Linked DNA regions of Schizosaccharomyces pombe. The main gene of each other region encodes a partner of the protein of the gene in region 2 in a complex. Each region holds a gene or a part of one and is shown on either strand. Other genes may lie near its edges.

What was found.
Region 1: dad1 (region 2) and dad3 share a complex: the UniProt entries of both Schizosaccharomyces pombe proteins name them as parts of the DASH complex.
Region 3: dad1 (region 2) and dad5 share a complex: the UniProt entries of both Schizosaccharomyces pombe proteins name them as parts of the DASH complex.
Region 4: dad1 (region 2) and spc34 share a complex: the UniProt entries of both Schizosaccharomyces pombe proteins name them as parts of the DASH complex.

What each region holds. Positions count from the first base shown.
Region 1 is NC_003424.3:5,226,970-5,232,726, reverse strand, and holds dad3 (DASH complex subunit Dad3), read right to left. Parts: upstream 2,929-5,757; 5' UTR 2,902-2,928; coding exon 2,824-2,901; intron 2,787-2,823; coding exon 2,604-2,786; 3' UTR 1,827-2,603; downstream 1-1,826. Other genes in the region: mek1 (meiosis-specific serine/threonine protein kinase), read right to left, coding at 161-806, 856-1,390, 1,431-1,587; Smc5-6 complex SMC P-loop ATPase subunit Smc5, read left to right, coding at 2,974-3,026, 3,095-3,260, 3,310-5,757. UniProt on the Schizosaccharomyces pombe protein: Component of the DASH complex that connects microtubules with kinetochores and couples microtubule depolymerisation to chromosome movement; it is involved in retrieving kinetochores to the spindle poles before their re-orientation on the spindle in early mitosis and allows microtubule depolymerization to pull chromosomes apart and resist detachment during anaphase.
Region 2 is NC_003424.3:3,085,842-3,091,340, forward strand, and holds dad1 (DASH complex subunit Dad1), read right to left. Parts: upstream 3,500-5,499; 5' UTR 3,485-3,499; coding exon 3,212-3,484; 3' UTR 2,943-3,211; downstream 1-2,942. Other genes in the region: Rho family GTPase Rho4, read left to right, coding at 1,197-1,230, 1,286-1,327, 1,389-1,435, 1,543-1,746, 1,863-1,997, 2,054-2,203; Smc5-6 complex non-SMC SUMO ligase subunit Nse2, read right to left, coding at 3,742-4,206, 4,322-4,444, 4,692-4,856; taz1 (telomere length regulator), read right to left, coding at 5,396-5,499. UniProt on the Schizosaccharomyces pombe protein: Component of the DASH complex that connects microtubules with kinetochores and couples microtubule depolymerisation to chromosome movement; it is involved in retrieving kinetochores to the spindle poles before their re-orientation on the spindle in early mitosis and allows microtubule depolymerization to pull chromosomes apart and resist detachment during anaphase.
Region 3 is NC_003421.2:1,668,016-1,673,462, forward strand, and holds dad5 (DASH complex subunit Dad5), read right to left. Parts: upstream 2,848-5,447; 5' UTR 2,591-2,847; coding exon 2,306-2,590; 3' UTR 1,929-2,305; downstream 1-1,928. Other genes in the region: DNA-binding transcription factor, nutrient sensing, zf-GATA-type Gaf1, read right to left, coding at 1-862; SPOM_SPCC417.03 (uncharacterized protein), read left to right, coding at 3,988-4,036, 4,228-4,349. UniProt on the Schizosaccharomyces pombe protein: Component of the DASH complex that connects microtubules with kinetochores and couples microtubule depolymerisation to chromosome movement; it is involved in retrieving kinetochores to the spindle poles before their re-orientation on the spindle in early mitosis and allows microtubule depolymerization to pull chromosomes apart and resist detachment during anaphase.
Region 4 is NC_003424.3:3,670,757-3,676,720, forward strand, and holds spc34 (DASH complex subunit Spc34), read right to left. Parts: upstream 4,139-5,964; 5' UTR 4,039-4,138; coding exon 3,544-4,038; 3' UTR 2,943-3,543; downstream 1-2,942. Other genes in the region: translation initiation factor eIF2B epsilon subunit tif225, read right to left, coding at 1-340, 410-534, 578-639, 684-741; V-type ATPase inhibitor and disassembly protein in response to oxidative stress Oxr1, read right to left, coding at 1,777-2,343; ABC family Fe transporter Atm1, read left to right, coding at 4,770-5,964. UniProt on the Schizosaccharomyces pombe protein: Component of the DASH complex that connects microtubules with kinetochores and couples microtubule depolymerisation to chromosome movement; it is involved in retrieving kinetochores to the spindle poles before their re-orientation on the spindle in early mitosis and allows microtubule depolymerization to pull chromosomes apart and resist detachment during anaphase.

The DNA.
Region 1 (5,757 bases), 2.1 Mb from region 2:
GCCTGATTAATTCTAAAGATTAAATGTGTTCATATTTTATAGTTTATAGCTAAAAATAACTTAATTAAGTAATGTTAGAATTACATAGTTCAGACACATAGCTTTTATGTGGAGAAACTTCGATCGTTTTATCAAGTTTATCGAATATTTTCTTACGTGGCTATAGCCGGGAATGTTTAAGAGGTTTGAGAATACGAGTTTCATATAATTTGGTGAGACGACTACTATGTCGCGCGAACCAGGGATGGGAAAGACATTGTTTGACTGTGAACCGATCTGGGGGATTCGTTTTTAAAAGATTTGATATCAGATCTTTGGCTTGCCTGGAGACGGATTTCCAAACAGGATCTCGAAAATCCACTTGTTTTTCTTTCACTCCATCTGCAAATGATGGTGAATTACCTGACAACAGCAAAAACATAATTACTCCAAGGCTCCATAAATCGACCTCTTTACCGTAACCAGAAGAATTTTCCTTTTCCACTTGAGACCTTCCTTTTAATCTTTGGATTTCCGGGGCGGTATATTCCGGAGTGCCTACGAAAGTCGAAAGTCTTTTTCCCTTCTGCATACATCTTGCAACACCAAAATCGGTTAAAATGATTCTAAAAATGGTATCAGAGGACGACGCAATGAGAATATTTTCAAGTTTTAAATCCCTGTGAATTATATTCTGCTCATGTAAATATTTTAGCCCTTGTAGAATTTGAAACATAATAAATAAAGTGGTAACTTCAGGAACCGTTCCCAATTTCGTTAAATAACTGAACAAATCTCCTCCCGTCACCATTTCCTCAAATATAAAACTAAGGAATATTAATCATCAAAATAACAAACCGCATTCAATCTACTTACAACTGAGTTTCCGAATTATACTCCATGTTTACTTTGATAATGTTAGGATGATCAAGTTTCCTAAGAATTGTCATCTCGTGGTCCTCGAAAAACCGTTTCGTTGAGATTTTTTTCTTGTCGATGATTTTACACGCGTATTGTCCCCCAGTGTTATTATCCATTGCCATGTAAATGCGCGAGAAGCCACCAATTCCCAATAGTCTTTGAGTGATGTTAAATCTCTCACCCGCATACTCGTGATGAAAATCATTATCAGTAGTGTATTTCTGCTGGAAAAGAAAGGAAGCGCAGTGCCGAACATCGAGTATATCTCCATCCGATAAAAGGACGCTATTGCCTTTACCAATTAAACGATGATTTAAGAATGTTCCATTAGAGCTCTGATCTTCACAATAAACAAGGGGATCCATATCATCATCGATTAGCACCGAATACACTCTAAAGTGCTTATAACTGGCAGTGAATTGCAGAAGCTGATAATTGCATGTATTACTCCTTCCAACAGAAACGTCTTCATATTTCTTAACATTCAGTACTAATATATGTCAAAAATCAATTGAAACAAGAGAACACACCTGTTTGTGGAGAAGATGATGAAAAAACAAACAATCGAGCGAGAACATCATCTTCAGTATATTGAGGATCCATAGTACTTTCGTCTATTTGACTCAATTCACAAAGAATTTGCGTTGATTCAGATCGACTAAGCATGGCATGTGATAAAAAGTCCATAGTTCTTGCTTTTTTTTATATACACTTTGCAAAACGGTGATGCGCGTAAGCAATAAATATATATATACTTTGTAAGACGCGCCTATCAAAACGTAAAAGCAGTGTCTATAACGGTATAAAGACAATACCCATTATTATTACGTTATACCACTATAAACCAAAGTCATTTGGTAATGCCAAAACATACACTTGCCAATATTTTGAAGGATTGGGCTTGACACTATTAAGTATATTAATAAAATATGAACCTCATTGCTTATCAAATATAGTAAATTATGAGAATCCATATTAGTACAAACAGAAGAAACTTTGGATTTCAATCTCGAAGAGAGTTGCTGGCATTTAAATGATTTTTAGTCAAATGCAAGCAGAAGAAAATTTCTCGCTGTATTCACTTTAATGATCCGAGGACAAAAACGAGTCCCAATTGTAAGTTGCTCTTCATAACGAAGAAATTTGAGTATGAATAACCATTACGGTTAGAAAAAAACAAGGAAGGAAACTTATTATTTGATTAAGAAATCAACAGCTTACAACATTGCAGATTCTCATGCAACCCCATTTTCATAACGCTTTTAGGAAAGCTTGAAAACACTTTCGAATCCAGCATGATCTAATAAAATGTTAACAGGCAATTAATCGGAAGATTCATTAGGTCAGTGTTTCCGGGGTAATAGTTTAGAAATATTTAAGGCCGGACTACTTCCAAAGGGTTGTTTTGGATAATTGATTAAAAGTGATCTAACCAACTTTTTAAAAACAATACCCATATTCGTTTCTTGGACATTTTAGCCGAAAAGTGCTTTTTAAAAACCTTCATAAGCTTATATCTTGTGCCTGTTTTTACTCTTCCAAGTAGGATGTATTTTTTTCTCTGTAAAAGTGATTGAAAAATTATCCGGTAAATATTCAGTTCCAAATATTCATAGTAAACCACACGAAAAGCACCAACAGTAGAGTTAAAGCTTAATTTATAGTTCGGTTTGACGTATTTTCAATTTCAAACAAGCACGTTATCAACTTTCATCTTGAAACATGCCGCTTTTACCTTCTTGGTTATTTTCTAGGTCTGCCAAAATCGCCCAAACACTAGCTTTGTAAAGAGTATATACAAGTCCAACCTCCTTTTCTAAATCCCTTAGCGAGTCCAGAATATTGTTGCTGGGATTATAAACCATGTCCTGTAACACCTTAACAAGCTAAATATTAACCAACTGCTGAATAAAAAAGACTTACTGTTTCTAAATTTGATGCAAGATTAGCATATTCAGCTAAAATTTGATTCTGGAGAGCTCTTTTTTCCTCTAAACTCATTGTACCTTGCCTTGCATAAGCACTTTGCTCTCAGCAAACTCCTAGTTGACTGAAATCCTCCTTACTTCCACCATGGATGGCCTTAGGCCTTCGAAACGAAGAAAAAGTAATCCTTTGTATTCAGAGTAAGTTATAGCTTTTTTCTATTTAGTATTTCTGCTTTTTATACTTCGATGATCTTAACACGCGAGAGTTACGCGTTAGGAAGTATTGTACGAATTAAATTAGTGAACTTTGTTACATACGATTATTGTGAACTGTTCCCTGGTCCATATCTAAATTTGATTATCGGTCCAAATGGGACAGGTAAGAGCACAATTGTTTCAGCAATATGCATTGGGCTGGGATGGCCCCCAAAAGTAAGTCTTTCAATATTATAAAAAATAACTTAATTGATTAACGATTTAGCTACTTGGGAGAGCTAAAGAGGCCCGTGAATTTATAAAGTATGGCAAAAACACTGCAACCATAGAAATTGAAATGAAGTATCGTGACGATGAAACGGTTACTATCACGAGACAAATAAGCCAGGATAAGAGTAGTTCTTTCTCTATTAATAGGGAAGCATGTGCCACTTCTTCAATAACGTCTCTAATGGATACTTTCAATGTACAATTGAATAATCTTTGTCATTTTTTACCACAAGACCGTGTTGCAGAATTCGCTCAGCTTGATCCTTATTCTAGACTGATGGAAACTGAGCGTGCAATTGACCATGAAGGGTTACTTCCCGCACATGAGAAGCTTATTGATTTACGAAAACGAGAAAGGGAAATTTTACAAAATAAAAACCAAGGACAATCAACATTAAATTCATTAAAAGATAGACAACAGGCACTAGAGAAGGAAGTCAATATATTTAAAGAACGGGAAAAAATCAAATCATACATCGAAATGCTAGGGTTAGCTAAAATGTTAGTTATATACAGAGAGAAAACCAATGTCTTTAACCAACTTCGTGCAGACAAAAAAAAATTAAAAAAGGATTTGAAAGACCTAGTGGAAGAATTTCAACCTATTTTGGATAAAGGTGAAGAGCTGCGTTCGGATTTAAAACTAAAAGATGATACATTTAACGATTACTCCTCCGCTTCGATGGAACTTAATACCTCAAATTTAAGAGCCAGAGCTTCTTTTTCGAATTTCATGGAGAACGAGAAAAAGCTTTATGAGAAGGTTAATACCAATCGAACACTTTTACGGAATGCAAATCTTACATTAAATGAAGCACAACAATCGGTGAAGTCATTAACAGAAAGACAAGGCCCAAGACCTTCGGATAACGGTGTTCAAGATCTACAAGAAAAGATGCAAGAAGTTAATGCGGAAAAACTTCAACATGAAAACGAGAAACTTGAGAGCTCTCATGAACTAGGTAGTATCAGAACATTGAAAGCACAAAAGCTTATTGACCTTGATAACATTAAAAGAGAGTTGTCCTACTACAACGATGCTACGAAAAGGAAACTAGACTTTATGTCTTCTGCTCCAGGCTGGGAAGATGCTTATCAGACGTATCAGTTATTGAAGGAATACGAATCTGCGTTTGAAGCACCCGCATACGGCCCAATTTATATGAATTTGAAATGTAAGGAAAAAGGGTTTGCAGCTTTGATAGAAGGGTTTTTTCGCACGGATACGTTTCGAACATTTATAATGTCAAATTATAATGATTATCTAAAGTTAATGGATCTTATCACTTCAAAAACTAAGTACACTCCTACTATAAGAGAATTCTCCAGTGAACGAAAAAAGAAGATAGAAGATTTTGAACCTCCATGCTCTCGTGAGAAGCTTCAGTCTTTCGGGTTTGACGGATATGTGATCGATTTTTTAGAGGGGCCAGAAGTGGTTTTGGTTGCTTTGTGCCATATGTTAAAAATTCATCAAATTCCGATTGCAAAAAGGGAACTACCTCCCGCATCAGTGAATGCGTTAAACAATTTTCGTCTGGCTAACGGGGATCCAGTTCTTAAAACTTACTTGGCGGGCTCATCTATCCACTTGGTTTTTCGTTCAGCTTACGGTGATAGAGAAATTACTAGGCGAACAGACCCATTACCTTCTCGCAGTATATATTTTTCCGAGAACGTTGAGATGGATTTGGTAAAGCGAAAGGAGGAGCAACTAAATGCTCAACTCTCTCAATTGGAAAATTTACAGAATGAGGAAAGAAAGTTACAAGAAAAGGTAAATGAGCACGAATCGCTGCTTTCTCGTACAAACGATATATTATCTACTCTACGAAAAGAGCGTGACGAAAAATTAATTCCTATTCACGAATGGCAACAATTACAAGAAAGAATAGAACACCAAACTCTTCTACTAAGACAAAGAGAGAAAGTTCCTGAGCAATTTGCAGCTGAAATTGAAAAAAATGAAGATATCAGGAAAGAGAACTTCGAAGCTCTTATGAATTCGGTGTTAAAAGTTAAGGAGAATTCAATTAAAGCTACGAATAATTTCGAGAAGATGTTGGGAAGTAGACTTAATGTCATAGAAGCGAAATACAAACTTGAAAAACACGAGATGGATGCCAACCAAGTCAACGCTCGATTGACAGAAGTACAAGATCGTCTTAAAGATATTACCGATAAGTTAGCCTCAGCAAGGGAGGATGCTATGTCCTTGTACGGTTCAGTGGTTGATTCATTGCAGACACAATCATCTGACAGACAAACGGCAATAACTGAATTAAATGAAGAATTTGCTACTAGTTCGGAAGTGGATAACAAAATTAGCATCGAAGAAACGAAACTGAAGTTTATGAATGTTAATAGTTACGTTATGGAACAATATGATGCGCGTAAAAAAGAAATTGAGGAACTAGAATCGAAAATGTCAGACTTTGATCAA
Region 2 (5,499 bases):
CAAACTGAAAAGCTAAACAGACTACTCGTTCTTTCTAGTAGACAGTATACAGGTTTTGGAATAGCAAACTATACTTAAGGCCTATGAATCATTTCCTTCAAACTTTCAAATCAATCACCAAGCCCTCAAGAACCGTTTGATTAATTTTCCTTGTCAACCTTCTAAGCATGGGCGTTGCGTTGAGTATAAACAAAACAGCAATAAATCCGAGTATACATGAATTGTTTCCTTCTTCAAACAAAACGCTGTTACCTTTGCGCGTATGATGACTTCCCATACTTACAAAAATTTTCAAAACCTAACAGTAATCTATAAATTTTAAGGGCTAACATTACATTCAAAAGTTATTAGAATGTTGCTAATAAATAGCCAGAACATTATTTTTATTATTCATTCTCATTTCTTACTTATTTAAGTGAATTAAAGAAAATGCGTAAATTAGATTTAATCCGTTAAAGTACAAGCAAGTCCCGAGTGGCTCAATCGGTTTAGAGCGTCTGACTCTTATGATGGTCATCAGAAGGTTGCGAGTTCGAGTCTCGCCTTGGGAGTTAATTTTTTGGTTATGGTACTTCAAGGCCAAGTAGAATAATCAATTAATTATTATGTATTTTTACTTCAATAATTTAGTTCCCAAAACCCGTTACTTTATTAATTAGTATAAGCTGATGAATTCACTTATTGAGTCGCCAACTTAACGATGAGGTGTTAGACTAGCCTGCCATATATACTTTTGGCGGTAAATATTTCAATTTCGTTAGGTATTTTTATCTAACTAATGTACACGTTTCTAGCAACCTGAAATGTAGGCTTGTAGAACTAGTTGAAAACAGAACGTTTGGATTATATGAATGATAATGAATACACCGAGCATCTTTTATTAGGCAGACTCAACAATTGACAACTTTGCAATGTCCATTGAATCCTAAAAATAAAAATAGACAGGTATATATACCTATAATTTTTTTGGTGGCTAACAACCTAACTTTTTCAATTAAAACAATTAACCGGCATAGTCCTTCGTAAATTCCATGCACACTTGATAAATTTAAATATGTTTCATCGCGGATATTCCGTTTACTGTTTTATATATTTATTTACCTATTGTTTACGTGCTGCGTTGTCATGGCAATGTTTAGCTTGGAAATACCAGCAATCTCAGCTGGTAAGCAAACATTAACAACAACAAAGGCAATATGTCTGCTTTCAAAAAGAGTGGATCCAAGTCAGGTAATTCAATTGTTCCTTTTTCTCAAATATCTTAAAGTTTTTGCTAATTTTTCAGAGACTTCAAAGAAACTTGTGGTCGTAGGAGATGGCGGTTGTGGTATGCTTGATAAATATAGGTGAATGACAGCTGGTCTAATGTACTAATGCTTGATGTATAGGAAAGACATGTCTTTTAATTGTATTCTCAAGCGGAACTTTTCCCGAGGTATGCCAATAGATCGAACAATAACTGTTTAAGTGCAGTGTTCATATGATTCATGTACTCAGTTCACTTGAATTATCTAAGTATACTGATTTCTAACATCATGCTAGAGATATGTGCCTACAGTGTTTGAAAATTATATCACCGATATAACATATGGACCGAACAGCAAAGTTATTGAACTTGCTTTGTGGGATACTGCTGGTCAGGAGGAATATGATCGTTTACGTCCTCTAAGTTACCCGAATAGCAACGTTATTTTGTTGTGTTTCTCAATTGATTGTCCGGCTTCTCTGAATAACGTTACGGAGAAGGTATGTGCTCTATAATTTATATTGCTAAACGTAGCTTTGGGTTTCTTCAATGTCATTTGCGTCTAGCCATTAGTATTTCATCTTTCTCATATTATTTTCTAACATTTTTCTTTCAGTGGTATCCTGAAGTTCAACACTTTTGCCCTAGAACTCCCATCGTTCTCGTCGGGCTAAAAGCGGATTTACGCAAAGATAGGAATGCTACTGAAGTACTAAGAACCCAGGGTTTAACACCAGTAACCTACCAACAAGTATGTCAATGATAAGCTAACTTTTTTCTTTCGTTTATTTTTTTTAACATATTTAGGCTCAATCCGTTGCTTTATCAATGAACGCTCCATATGTCGAATGCTCTGCCAAAGAAAACACTGGTGTAAATGAAGTTTTTCAACTTGCTGTTGGCCTCACTATAAAAAAATCATTTTCGTTTTCTAAAAAGTCTTGCGTGATTTTATAATATCTTGATCATGGCCTTTATTTACTTAATCTTACCATTTTTGATGTCTTCATTTTTGCTTCGCCTATTTGTATAGCATTTGATGAGATTGTTGGAACATAAGAAGCAAGAAAAACGCTTTATTTACGCATTCTAACATTGCTAATTGCATATAAACCAATACTCCAAACGTTTGCTGCAATAGAGACATTATGCTTGTATGCTTTCTTTTAATCTAAGCATATTGTGTAGCAGTTTCCTTTTCAGAATTTTGCTCCTATCTCAACTTTTTATCTTTTCAGGTATTTAACTAGCCAATATGGTTTAGATGGATTATCGACTATTGGAGCTATTTTGTGATTTATAATTTGTTTATTAAGACGTTATCTGTTTGATTCTGAATATATGTCAGCAAAAATCAATTGGTCTTAATGTTTTTTTTTACTTTTACTTCAAATATGCCTATATTTGTCCGAAACTTTGAAAATCGGTTTTTTAACCCTGACTGGTTCAGGGTATTCATGTCGTGAATAAAACGATAGTTATATAGAAGATATTGAAATGAATACTTATGATTCCTTTTACCTTTTTATTATGCTAAACTGCATTAAACCCCTTTTATAATTTAAATAATACCATTAAAATGGTAATTTCTAAAAGGATTCGTATAGTAGTAAAGAAAAAGTTTACTATGCAAATATTAACATCAACAGTTGTTCTGCCTCTCAGACGATGAACGGCTTATTTAAAAATTGGCAGCTTTTAGAAGAATATAGGAAGATTAAAAACTAATATATATATACAAACACATTATTAATGAAGTGACTTAAGGTTTGTGTATTGTAATATGTAAGTTAATTTAAAAGAATCCTGACCTTTGACCAATTTTTGAGGACGCTATTAAATTTATAGATTCATAAAAAACATATAATAACTAATAATTTAATTTAATATGCAAATTCTTTGAAACAAACTGCGTTAAGGCATATGTTTAGCGGCAATGAAAATACATTTAGAAAAGAACGACCATCAAGGTGCATCTAGCATTTCACGATCTTTCTTCTGTAACACTGAATTTTGAAACTCCTTCCAAAGAGACGCGACATTTTCAAATTCCTTTCCAACACCGTTAATGCTTTCAAGATTTTTATTTAGAGCTGACATAAGATTCACAACTTCATTCATACTTTTTGAAATTTGTAAGGTCAAAAGACGACGCCTTCTTTCAAAATCTATATCATCAAAATCTTTATTTTGCTCATTTTGTATGTTTTCAGTAATATCCATATTTTCTGAGGACATGGTATGTTAATGGCTAGTGTCAAAGTCAAGCATGAGCCAAAGTTTATCATAAGGTTACAATCAAGTAGATCTTATATTAGATTTAACTATCTTCATAATTAAATGCCAAAATTGAAGCTTCCGTACGAGCATAGAATATTAGTCAAAAGAGACATGTTATGCATATTTACAAGTTGGAATAAACAAATACATTAAATATAATAATAATAATAATAATAATAAATCCGGATCAGTACTACAATGTAAATAGAAAAGGACTAAGCTTCTTTTAAATTACTTATTTCCTGAGCGCGGCGTAATCTGCGTTCAAGAATCTCATCTTCCTTAAGTAAAGACCTTTGTAAACGAGCTTCACATCCTACAACAGGGCATACACAAGTTGGATTTAACAGAGACAAAATAGCATCTTTTTCATAAAAATGATTACAGGCTGTCGATAATATTGGGTGAACAATTGGTTGTAAAGTTAAAGGGCATCTGTTATCAAAGGTAGCTGAATATACCATCACTTCATCTGCTTCCTGTTCTTCAGTGTTCATGACATTAAAAAATGTTTTCATAGAAGGAAAGTCAGAACCGTCTGTATTTTGCTCATGCCATATGGTTTTTTTAAATTCAATGTATTCTCCTTGTGTGCCATATTTACCATAGTCGGATTTTTCTTCGTATTCTTGAATGAGTTCCTTAAAAATTTGTGTATAAATATCCAACAAACTTTTATTCTAATTTTGTTAGAACAATTGAATATGAAACAGTAAAAAAATACGTCTAAATTGATGTTTTTACTTCATCTACATATAATAGAAAAAGTAGGAAAGTCATTTCCGTGGTACGTACTTCAAAATCACTTATATTTTCACTGGTTTTGTTAGCCAATGTATCCACCGATTGCTGCATCAATAACAATCTCTGCTTTGCATCCAACAGCTCTCGGATCCCGCTATCAAGCATGTCCAAACACTAAAAGGCAAGTGTTAGTCAGAAGTCATAAAGTAAGCAGCATGTCATATTATGTCTATTTTAGGCTCTCTCTCAATAGCCGGAAATAAGAGGAAGAAAAATATTAGTTAAACAATGTTTTTGTATGTATATTTGTACAGCGAACTTCTTTTTAAAAAACTGTATCTCGACATAACACCACTTTCGAGTTTTAAAAGCAATTCATATTAATTTTTTCCATTATCTTTCGTAATAATGGTACACATACCTCATTATTTTTTATCTCAGCAGCAACTAGAGCACATTTTATCACCTGTTTAATTGAATCGTCAATTTCCTTCAATTGGAAGTCGAAACTGCAATGATTTTGGTTTCCAGGTAATAAATTTTGACTTAAAGCCTCCAAGGAAGTTTTTAATTGTGCTTCACTCATTTACGATTCCATTCGAGAAAGAAGTAGTTACGACGTTTAATTAGTAGACAACGCAATTTGGGATTGAAAACCTATTAATTGCATATGAAAACTAAATGCCACAACACTTATTTCCTTAAATAAAAAAAGAATGTTTTTTAAGCAAGGGTAATAACCACGTTTTAAAATTTAAACTCCAGTACGTTTTTATGAAGATTGATGGCATATGTATAAAGACTAAATAAATTCTTATTTACTGTCACGTTTAATACAAATGAATGGGTTATGAAATATTCTCATTTGGAATTAGAATTTATAATGCATACTTCGGACAATTAACGCTTGACTTTTAGTACCTCTATTACTAAACCAACTATTCAATATGATAAACCAATAAAGGATGATTAAGGCCGTGAAATGTATAAATTAAATTATGTTATTTTCAAAATATTCCATAGATTAGTAGTAAAGTAAAACACGATTAACAAAACTATCCGAGTCTTGTCAATATTATTCATTAAAAAAGCAATCATGAACAAACTCTATCCGGAGACGAAAAATTAAGATTGATAATTAACAAGCTCTTCCCGTAAAAGTGGCGGAGTTGCCTCTATGTAAGGTATTTTATGAAGTTCACAATAGGCCTGGCCCACAGTAACATTTT
Region 3 (5,447 bases), on a different chromosome or scaffold from region 2:
ATGAGGGAAAGCCTCCATTTTCTGGAAATGATGAAGGTTCTGATGGAGTCATATCAAAGTCCAATCCCAAAACATCCGTATCTGCATGCTTTGGAGAAGCTTTGATACGCTGATTAGGAGAAGCAGAATTATTAGAATTAGCGGGAATGGAAGGGGGAGCATTAGGCAAATTGTGAGAATGAACACTAAAAAAGTCAGAAGGAGGAGATATAGGCAATGCTGAGGCGTCAAGATTAGAAAAATTAGAGCTGTCAATGTCTCTCTTAACGAAATTAAAAGAATTAGAAGCATGAATCTTTGGGTAGCTAAATGGTTGGGATTCCAAATCATGGGGTCTTTGCATAGCATTGGGATCTGGAAAATGAGAATCGGCAATAGAGCGCTTTTTACTTTTTGCAGTAGACTCGTCAAAGCTTGTTTTACGCACGCGACGCTGAATATAATTAAATTCCATCAACGAGCTTCCAGTGGTATCAGCAGGTACGCTATATGCAGGTATTGGGTTTAATTTCATTTCAGTATCTGAGTTATCGGCAGTGGTTTCAGCAGAAGAAGTAGGAGGAACGGATTGAGCACTAGAAGGGGCAGTGGGATCAGAGAAAGTGTCTGGGGTTAAAGTATTTGAATCACCATTTGGTGTTAAGTTCTTTTGCAAATTTATAGACATTAAACGCCATGTCAAGTTCTCGACACGACGACCATTAGACAGTTCCGACTTTGCCTTGGAAAACATTTTCCAGAGGTCTGACATCGTGGAATAATCTTCTTTGGAGGAAGATTCGTCCGTGGTAGATTTGTCAAATTTTTTGACAAGTGCTGGATGTTCCGCTTCCTTGAAAAAATTGGAAAACTTTAGATCCATAAGTAAGGTTTTATGCAAAAAATGTTTAATCACAAAGCAGGGATATATCCAAAAATGATACCCAAAAAATCAGTAACTTCAGCCAGCTTGAAATGTGGATAAGAAAGAAAAAGGGAAGTTTCCGAATAAAAAACCGAAACAAAAAATAAACGAATGAAATGAACGAAAGAGATCGCCTCTCAAACGTTAAACAAAAAAAAAGTTGTAGTAAAAAATCACAAAAAAATAATAATATAAGGTAAGATATAAAAAAACAGGAAATCTTAAGCTAGGACCAAGAAAGCTTCTTTAAATGGAAAACACGAAATGGCAGTGAATACCAAGACACACCAACAACGTTGTTTAGTTAGGTACTACTTTGAAATGATTGTGCAAACCACACGAGCGAAGGTAAAAATAGCAAGAAGTTCAAGTTGCTTTGATATGAACAGGTACTTTAAACAAAAAAGACGTGAACCCCAAAACAAAAACGATCTAAAAAGGGGAAATAAAACAACAAAAACGAACTAAAATACCAAAACAAATATAGAAAAATAAAACAGATATAAGCTAGAATACAATCCAGAGGTGTGGTGGAACAAAAAAAAGTAATTTGTAGACAGATTGGGGAATGGTGGCGCTATGGCTTCCTCAAATCAAATTTCCGTTTTCCCTGGAAGAGAGCAAAAAAAGAAGAAACTGCAAAAGAAAACAGATATTTATTGATTAGGTATGTAATAAGGAGGAGCCAAAGCTTAAAGAAATCAATTTACAAAATCGTTTGAAACGTTTAAAATTAGTACAACCTGCTTTTCTTTTTTCGTTGAGGTTGGCAAAGGGACGGCGTTGTTCACACCCATCTAAGCGAGGTCGAAGAAGCTCTCTTCGGTAAATCGTAAGGTGAAAATAAAGAAGCCTAACGAAAGGAACCACTTTTACCTTTTTTTAGCTAGCTATCCAATGATTGTGCGCTATCTCAAATAAAAACCATATGATTGGTACACTGACTGTTTTGTGAAGCGCAATTGACCAATCATTTCTGGTATCCAATTTTTGCAGTTTCCCTTGGTTACTTAGCCGACCGAGCTGACCAATGAACGAGATCACTTATTAGACGAACTAGAACACCCTCTTTTAGCCTGCTATTTTTTACAGAACTGCATCGTACAATGCAGTAACATAGGTTTCGGGAGTGCAGCCCGAGAGTCGCAAAACTCCCATAGCGTAAAATGCCGAAAAGCCGTATTCCGGATGCATAGTTGATACAACTCCAACACCCACATATTGAAAGAAGCCCCAAATACCGCATTGTTGCAGTAAAATAAGAAATAGCCCCATCTAATTAAGAAAGAGCACATTCCTACTTCCTTTCCTGTTATATTTCTCCTTCATTGGGGCACTTTGTCTCTTGTATTCTCCTTTTTATCATTGTCATTTGAGGTCTGCATCAAAAAAGTTGGAGACTCACATAGGAACGTCTTCTTCCACAGCATCTGAAGACTTTTGAATCCTCGCTTCGGACATAACGCGACCAGACGCCATCAGAAGCGAGGCCTGAAGAGCACCAAGACGTCGGATGGCTTCTGCTTGAATTGCGGTAACATGTAAGTGGTTTTCCAAATGAGACATGTTGGATTGCAACTTGGACAGTTGGTCCACCAAACGATTCATTTGAAAGCTTTTCATTTGACTGGGAGATGGAGATGAACTGCTTGTTCGACTAGTTGGCACAATGGTAGAACGACGCATGGTGTAAGGTGAAAGTGAAAGAAGGCAGACAGGTAGATGGAAGGTAAACAAACCAAACGCGTGTGTGATGGGCGAGTGCAGCTTTTAAGACACCGCACTAAAATGCAATCAACCTTCAGTATCGACAATTAAAGGAGACCATTACCCACTTGAGTGGTATTTCAATTTAACAAATTGCAGCGATTTCCAACAATACCGGCCGACGTTAGTATTCCTCAAAAATGAATAAGAGCGTAAAATAGCGTGGAAAGAGTGGCAGAAAAAGGCGACCAGCGCAGCGCACCTATCTTTTATGTAGCTGACAAGAAGGAAAAGGGGGACGGTAAATTTTTCGCTTACTGATAAAAAACCAAACTTTCGTTATATGGTTTAGCGAGACATAATTTCCAAGCTAATAAGTAATACCGAAATCGTTCCTTTTGCTAAATTTTTCGGGTCAGTTCCGTGGAAATAGGCAAAATTATTGGTAAGGATGGAATTATCAAGTTTTGCATAATTTCCATGGAAGTGTAGAAGGAGGATGAAGACGGAACTGATGAAAAGTGCTCCAAAGCTCCGATCACAATCATGTTGGATGAGGTGCTTTGTCCAAATCAAAGGAAATAAAAATTCTCCGTAAGCTCGACATGCTAGGCATCTTATGAGGAAGATAGGCAAATGAGTATTTTAAAGGAAAAAAGAAATGGAAAGAGCACGATCGTTAGACAAATTACATACGGAAGTCAATGTCCGTGCAAGAGAAGACGCAGCAGCGTGATGTGCATCCGTTGTTTTAATTATTGTTTGAATTTTCAAACTTTACTCAACTACGATCGGAAAACCTTTTTTTTTAATAAACTACTTGTCTTAATATCCTCGGGTTTTATTCAGTTTCAAAAGCATCGAGATTTCACTACACTGGGGTTTATCTTTTAGGTCCCCCACATCTATCATTTCACAGAGTTCCATTTCATATCGACGCTAGGATGGGGTTTGACATATAGTCTTCTTATATGTGAAAACATATAGCTTTTCTAATCAGGTTTTGTTTTTTCGTTTCAGATATATCGGAAGTGAGTTGACCGAACAATGGATTTTATCTTAGCATGGACAAATGTATCAATTCCCTGGAAATGATTCTCTTGGAAACAAAAGAAAGGAAACAGGGATACACAAACCAGTCGAGACAAATAAAATCCAACAGGAAAATTGCTTGGTGTAAGGAAATCGTCATAGAATGCTTTATGGGAGTTTGGGAAGTATTTGTAATATTTACATTTTTTTTCTACTTTTTTTTTTTTTAATTTTTTTAGTTAATGTTTGGCTATTTTCAAAGGAGGAATTCCTGAGTTAGATGAAAATTAGTTTTTAATTTGTTTCTTTTTTTTTATATAATCAAGTTGGTTCATTTAGTAACCATGCTTCCTCATACCGCTTTTTCTAATCATATTCATTACCATTTTATAAGTAATTTTTTCAAACATTCACTCATCCCTTTCTAATCATATACCCCATTTTTATTATAGTTTCTTTCATGAAAATGAATGACTCCTACACTCCATACACATACATCGTTTCGTTTCACAATTTTGTACGCTTCCCCATAAAACAAAGAAATACTTCCATTCACCACGCCCCTAACAAAAGAAAAAGAAAAGATGAAGCCCCTTTCCGTCTATGTATATATACCCTTTTTCATGCTCACACGTGTTTTTCCTGCGGTTTATCATTATCGCTTATGGAAGTGATAATGGATATCTCCCAGTTGCTTATTTCCTAAATCACTCATTTCTTATCCTTATTGCGCTAAAAATGATAACAGTCGCATATTTTCCTCGTCCCTGCTAATTTACGAAGAGTTGATTACTTCATTCCAAGAAAGACGTAGGAAGACGTAGGAATGTCAAATTGCGATCCTATTTTCCCAACTCATCTCGCTTTCACTTGGCGTTGTTGGCATTCCTTTGATTATGACGGACATTTACATCCGTAATAGATGATTGCATGTAAACGAATTTTGTGCTTTGTCAAAGTGCAAAAAAGAGCTACCGATAAACGGAGGACCGATTGTGTTGAACAACTGCACTGACTAACACAAATTTATCAATGGAAAAAAGGTATACGTCGGCGATGCTCTGATAACTAAATGAAGGCTTTTTTTTTTCCTTTTGCGACTCGCCTGCCGCCGCACACTTACTCATGTTGATAGCTCAAACAAATCAAAATACTAACTTTAACGCCGACAATGCTCCACTTGCATCTTGTCTATCTTGGCGATTATGGTTACCTCAAACACATACCGTCTTTTACCACTTATCACTAACAACTTTGTGGAGCGGATTTTCATCCTACCTTGATAATCATCTACCCTCGCACCAGTACCGCAGTATTTCTTGATAATGAGAACGGATGCAGACTAGATGGGGCAGTAGTAAAAGAGCTCGCAAAAGAAACATGAAATTTCATAAACAAATGCTGACGAAAGTATATGAATGAAACTAACATTAACACAAATATGAAATTGAGATTTGAGTCAAACCCAATAATTAAATCCAAACTTTACATGAAACTGACTAGTACCAAAAATGATCAAAACCATACAAATACAGTCTACCCACTTTGGCTGAGAAATCGCCTATCAAACATGACTTGCTTAGTTGGCCCAGTCTATTACATTCCTCGACATATCCGTATACAAGGAAGATGATGATGGAGGAACACTTGATAACATGATTAATAAAAGTCTTTCGAAATCTAAAGCATTCCATTTGTTATCGAGCAAAAGAATAGAGGTAAAAAAAAGTTTTTGTTGTTCATCAGAAGGACCTTTATTTTATTTTTTTTTTGGGTCTTTGACTTTTTCTATTGAGGTATCCAT
Region 4 (5,964 bases), 580 kb from region 2:
TCCCCTTTCGTTAGCTTGATAATGCACGCATTGGCTGGTCTTTTTATCTATCACGAAAACAGAACTCTCTGTACGGGCGCGTGTACGATGAAATGGACTTGCTTCTCGTACAACCATTGTCATAATAGCATTTTTATCATCTTCACGGCGCTTCCGATGTTCTTTCAAAACTTCGTTTAGAGGCACATTGGATACCACATCGCCTGATACGAGTATGAAATCGGAGGTAATTAGCTGTTTTGAATCGAGCTCTCTTAAAGCATCACCAACCGACAGAGATTCTCTTGACACAATCGTGTTTACACTAAAGGGGGAAGAGGGAAGATTCCACTTTGACTTTCTGTGGGTTATATTGTGTTAGTTATATCGTATCAGAAATTCGAATTTAAGACCTCAATTTAGCACATACTCTATATATTCTCGAATTTGTCCTGCATGGGCACAGCAAAATACATAAACTTCTTGCACCCCGGCCAATGCCAAAAACTCAAAAGTGTACTCTATTAAAGGGGTATTTGCTAAAGGAAGAAGACACTAATAATATTAGTACTTAAAGTGTACACTGGTAATTGCATACGCGAGGTTTATCTAATGTAAGAGGGCGAAACCGATAATTATAAGAATCCGACAAAACAATCGCTAAAAATTAGTAACAAACACTTTTTGAATCCCAAAAACATTACCTTGCAGAGCGTGTTTTGGCTTTTCTAGCTTGCCATTCAGCCCTTTGGATGGAGGCATTTCGACAATGTAGAGGGATTAGACATATTTCTCAATATCATTTAAGCCCAAACAGTCATTTAAGGATGCCGTGCTCCACTGCCTTATAACTTAAAGATTATTCTAAACAATTCATCAACTAGAGACTAAAAAGGAATTTATAAAGACGTTAATAATCAAAGAGTAATTAAATTTAGGATATTAAATTTGCATAGCTCATTTCTTTTATAGTTTATTGGCGAAAGAAAGTGGTTTTATTTAAGTAACCACAAAAATTCCACATAATAAACAGAAGATATAAACGGTGATTTATCCTGTTAAGTTGGTAAATTTTGTCAATTTGTTTTCTACAATTGGGTAGTGGTTGCAAACATTTTACTAATCTTATGGTAGTTTATCGAGATTTGAATACAGGTTTCAAGTGTTTACACGGTAATCAAAAAGAAACATAATAAATAAAACTTCATAATAATTATTATTACTGATATAAAGTGGATGGTAGAAATCGATTCGTCAATTAGGGACGATACGAATTGTTGATGAAAAGCAACCACGTGAATAAATATACTAAGTGTAGCATTAAAAGTTATGAATAGAAAAAGAGAAAATTAATAAATAATAGACAATTGGGGAGAAGATATTGGGGATGCTCTTCATTTGATTCGTTCACTCAATGCATAAGGCGTAAAGAAATTAATAGCAAGGATATTCATGCTTGATCAATTAACAAACGTAATCTTCCGGAATTGAGAAGAAGTATTAAAAATTAGCTGATGATAGAAAGCTATACATCACAAATGGGAGGGAAGAGTCCTACGGCTCGAATTTCTGGTAAACTCGATATTCATTGATTGAACATGCAAATCAACGAGTTAACTTGAATTAAGAATAATAATCAATGCATAGAGTCAGCATAAAATTGTCTTTGGTTGAATAAATTAGTCATAAAGAAAGCACGGTAAAATATTAATCTTGATATAAATATAAAACTTGGGCTGATGCACATTTCCGAGTCCATCTTTTATTTTCTTTTTTCTTTTCATTCGTTAGTTGATATTACTCCAATACCCAGAGCTCGATGTCCACGATTTGGATTCGTTGGTCAGGACAGCCACGATAGCTCAAAGGATTGTTTTCGAATGCAGGAGTACGACTAGAGTAAGCGTACTCTAGAGAGCCATCAAGCCAAAGGCTGTATCTTCCATTACCCCCACCAAATGCCAAAAAGCTTTTGGTGCAATATGCAACAAAATTGGAATTTCCTACGAAAGGGTAATGTACATACTTTTTGGGAGGAAAATATTTCCACAAGAAGGTTTCCTCGGAACCAAAGTAATGAGGTGCAGGAATTAAATAATCAGGGATAAAAACTCCAAAAACATCGCCGTCTGTATCGCGCACAGCTAAAATGCAAGCCCCTTTAGGATGGCCGCTTCGAGCTTTTTCCTTTTCGCAGGCTAAGTACATTGTTTGAAGAGATGCGCCGTCATGTTGCAACGAATAGATTCGTTTCCAAGTTTCAGCAGAAGCATATCTTGCTGGCAAGTTCTCAACGATGTGACTGGCCAATTCATCTGTTATTAAGCCGTCTTTAACACTATACTGTCTTGTAAAGTTAAACATTTCAATTGATACAAAATACTTGCTAAAATTTTGTACTCTTATGGTGTGTGTAGTTAGAAAGATTAAGGTGATCCACTAGCCTTATGTAATAAGTAAACAAATAAATAATTGTGAATACAATAACAAACACTGAAATAAACAACAGTAAGTGTATTCTTTAATTTTCCAAAGAAGAAGTTTTTCTTAATAAAGGTATTCTTATTGATCCTTTTTTATTGTTTTTTTTGAGAAATCGAGTAAATAATTTTTTTGGCGTAATGTGTGATTGTTAAGGTGGAGCAGCAGCCTTGGTATTAGCAATTAAAACATTCGTTCAAATTCTATCATTCAGTAACAACAAAAAATAATTATAGTTGACGAGTCAATAGAAACACTATGAACCTGACTTTTACTCTATATTAATAATCAAATATAGAATAAATACATAGTGTTCCATTACTTGCTATCATACTATGCTATTGAACTTTTATTTATATCTTAAATAAAATCTTTTAGAACTTTTAAGAACAAGTATGTACTTATGTTTGTATAAATATTAAGAACTCATTACAACAAATGAGTCCAATGCAAAAGCTGGCGTTGAGCCAGTAATCTAATTGCCGTCTTTAACTTATCATGAACATTATTGTATTTTTCACATACTATTCTATAAATGAGAATATTACAAAAACAATGAGTTATTATGCTCCTGAGTTGTAATGTACTTAGTTTGCTAATTATCTTCGTTCAATATCTTTGCCGCTTTAGAGAATTCCTGGAGCAAACAGTCCAAAGATTCTCTTCTCTTCTCTTTATGTTTTTCATATTCTAGGTATTCATAATCCTCTAGCTCTTTTGTAGCCTTCAAAGTAACAGTAGACGAACTTGCTTTTTTCTTAGCAAGCGACATTTCAATATGCTTTTTAAAGGATGATATATCAAAACATCGACTTCTTTTTTTCCTCTTCAGCTTCATCAGTTTGTATTGGGAGTAAGCCGATCGATCATCTGACGTCGAAGGATAACTGCAATCAGAAATATCTCGGGTGCTTCTTTGAGGATGTAACTTCAAAGGAATGAGTCCATGGTCTTTTATATCCTCGCTTAAATACATTTCTTGTTCTTTGCTCAAATCCATGATAAAACAACGACCTCGCTTCTCCTTTTCTAAATGTTCACCAATACGAAAAGTCGATCTGACTACCAACGCAAATAGCCTTCCTAAGATTGTATCAGTTGCTTCACTTTTTCAATTTCTCTTTCAAGTCTTTGGATTTCAGAAGTTTCACGCTGTAGAATATTCTCCCTAGCAGACACCTGATCGGTTTGTCGTTTTTCAAGTTGCTGCAATTGCTCTTTCTGTTCCAGTAAAACGTTTTCCAAATTCTCAATTCCTGACATATGTAAGTTGTATTTCTCAACCAGAGTCTCCAAATATTCACGGCCACCTTGCATAGGATATATATCTAGTAGTTCCTCAATACAAGCAACGTAGTCTGCAGGGTTTTCTGATGCCAACCTTTCACTCCAATCCTTCGGTAGAGATTTGAACTCAGCTGCAATTAGTTCTTCCTTCTGAGTATCGCGAATTAAATCAGTTATAGCATGAGTATGTAGCACCGCGTCTGTGAAACGTGCTGCGTTTGGGTTTTCCGGTTCCAAAAGTTTTTCTGATGTAGCAGCAATAGACTGTAAATAATTCAACAAATCAGACATTTATTTAATAAGTCATCAAAAACACTAATTCGACTCGTAATTAGTAAAAGGTATGTTTCAATTCACTTTACCAGAGTTGCCAAAAGTGTATGCAATCTCTGGGTGTGTGCAGGTGGTTTAACCAAAACGTAATAAACGTTTGGTATCTTTGATATAATGGAAATCACCTGTGCCTGTTTTTGAAATTCTGTTCTCGCTCAGCAAATTATTTTAACAAAGGTAAAGCATTGCGTTCATTCCTTGCTATTTTCCTTTATTTGCTACACCGAATCATTCTTACGTTTACGCTTTAGGCACACATTTCTTCAGCTCAGATTATCCATTAATAATTATATGTAAAACTTTTATAAAGGTTAATACACGCTAAAAATTTCGTAATCCTCAGTGCAGTTTTGATGAGTTTGCAATTGTTGGACTCTACTTCGCAATCGTGATCTAATCAAAATCTACAACTTTCTAAGTCTGCCAGATTTATAGAACTAAAGGTTTGAGAATTATCCTTCTCTTAGTTCTTTTATTCATATATACCATCTATTAAAAAGTTGCCTCTTTGGAGGCTATTTGAGGTTTTTCTGACTGAACGTTTCGTCTGTTTTTCATATTCTATCAGCCAAGTTTATTCTATTTAAATATAGATTTAAAAACTTTAATTATCTTAAATAGAAGAGCAGTATATTGGGTATAACTAACAGCTTGAAGCTCTGACATCTTAAAGTGTTGTATTAATAAAAATGCTAGAACGATGTCCCTGGAAATTAATCAGCTCGCCAAGAAATATTCCAGCTCGCTCTTTTCTTAATTCTCGTGGAACTTATCTTGTTTTAAGAAAGTCAAATATATTACCTCTTCAACATATACTGCGGTTTTCCAATTTTGCATCTAAGCAATGTTTCCCACTTAGAAATGGAAATAATTCGGCTTCAAAAGCGTTATGGAATAACAAATCAAAAGAAAAAGAGCCACTGAATACTTCTGTTAAACTTGCTTCCGATGTACCAGATGATAAAAATGTAACAGGACAAATGATTGTTAAGGACATGCTTCAATATATTTGGCCCAAGGGGAAGACTAATTTGAAAGTTAGAGTTGTTTCGGCTCTCGCACTACTTGTAGCTGCCAAAATTCTTAACGTCCAAGTTCCTTTTTACTTTAAATCAATTATCGATACCATGAATACAACACTTGTTCAAGAAGTAGGAGCATTGTGGTCTACTGTAGGAGCTGTTGTTCTCGGTTATGGCTTTGCTAGAATATTTTCTACCGTTTTTCAAGAGTTAAGGAATAGCGTTTTTGCAATTGTGTCGCAAAGCGCTATTCGAAGTGTTTCTAGCAATGTCTATCAACATCTGTTGAACCTTGACATGAATTTTCATCTCTCAAAGCAAACAGGAAGTATTACTAGAGCAATGGATCGTGGTACAAAAGGTATTAGTTTCATTCTTTCCTCCATGGTGTTACACATCATTCCTATTACCCTTGAAATTGCTATGGTGAGTGGTATTCTCACTTACAAGTACGGACCTTCGTTTTCGGCCATTGCTGCTACAACCGTTGCTCTTTATGCTCTTTTTACTGTTAGGACGACATCCTGGAGAACTGTATTCCGTCGTCAAGCAAATGCTGCTGACAGTAAAGCATCAGCCGCGGCAATTGAATCTCTGATTAATTATGAAGCCGTTAAAACTTTTAATAACGAATCATACGAAATGAGCAGATATGAAAAGCATCTTTCCGCCTACGAAAAAGCCAACGTTAAGGTAGCATCTTCTTTGGCCTTTTTGAATTCAGGACAGGCTATTATATTCTCTACCGCTCTTACTTTGATGATGTACATGGGTTGTCGTGGAATTGTAACTTCCAACCTTACTGTAGGTGACCTTGTCATGATTAACCAATTAGTATTTCAGTTGTCAATTCCTCTTAACT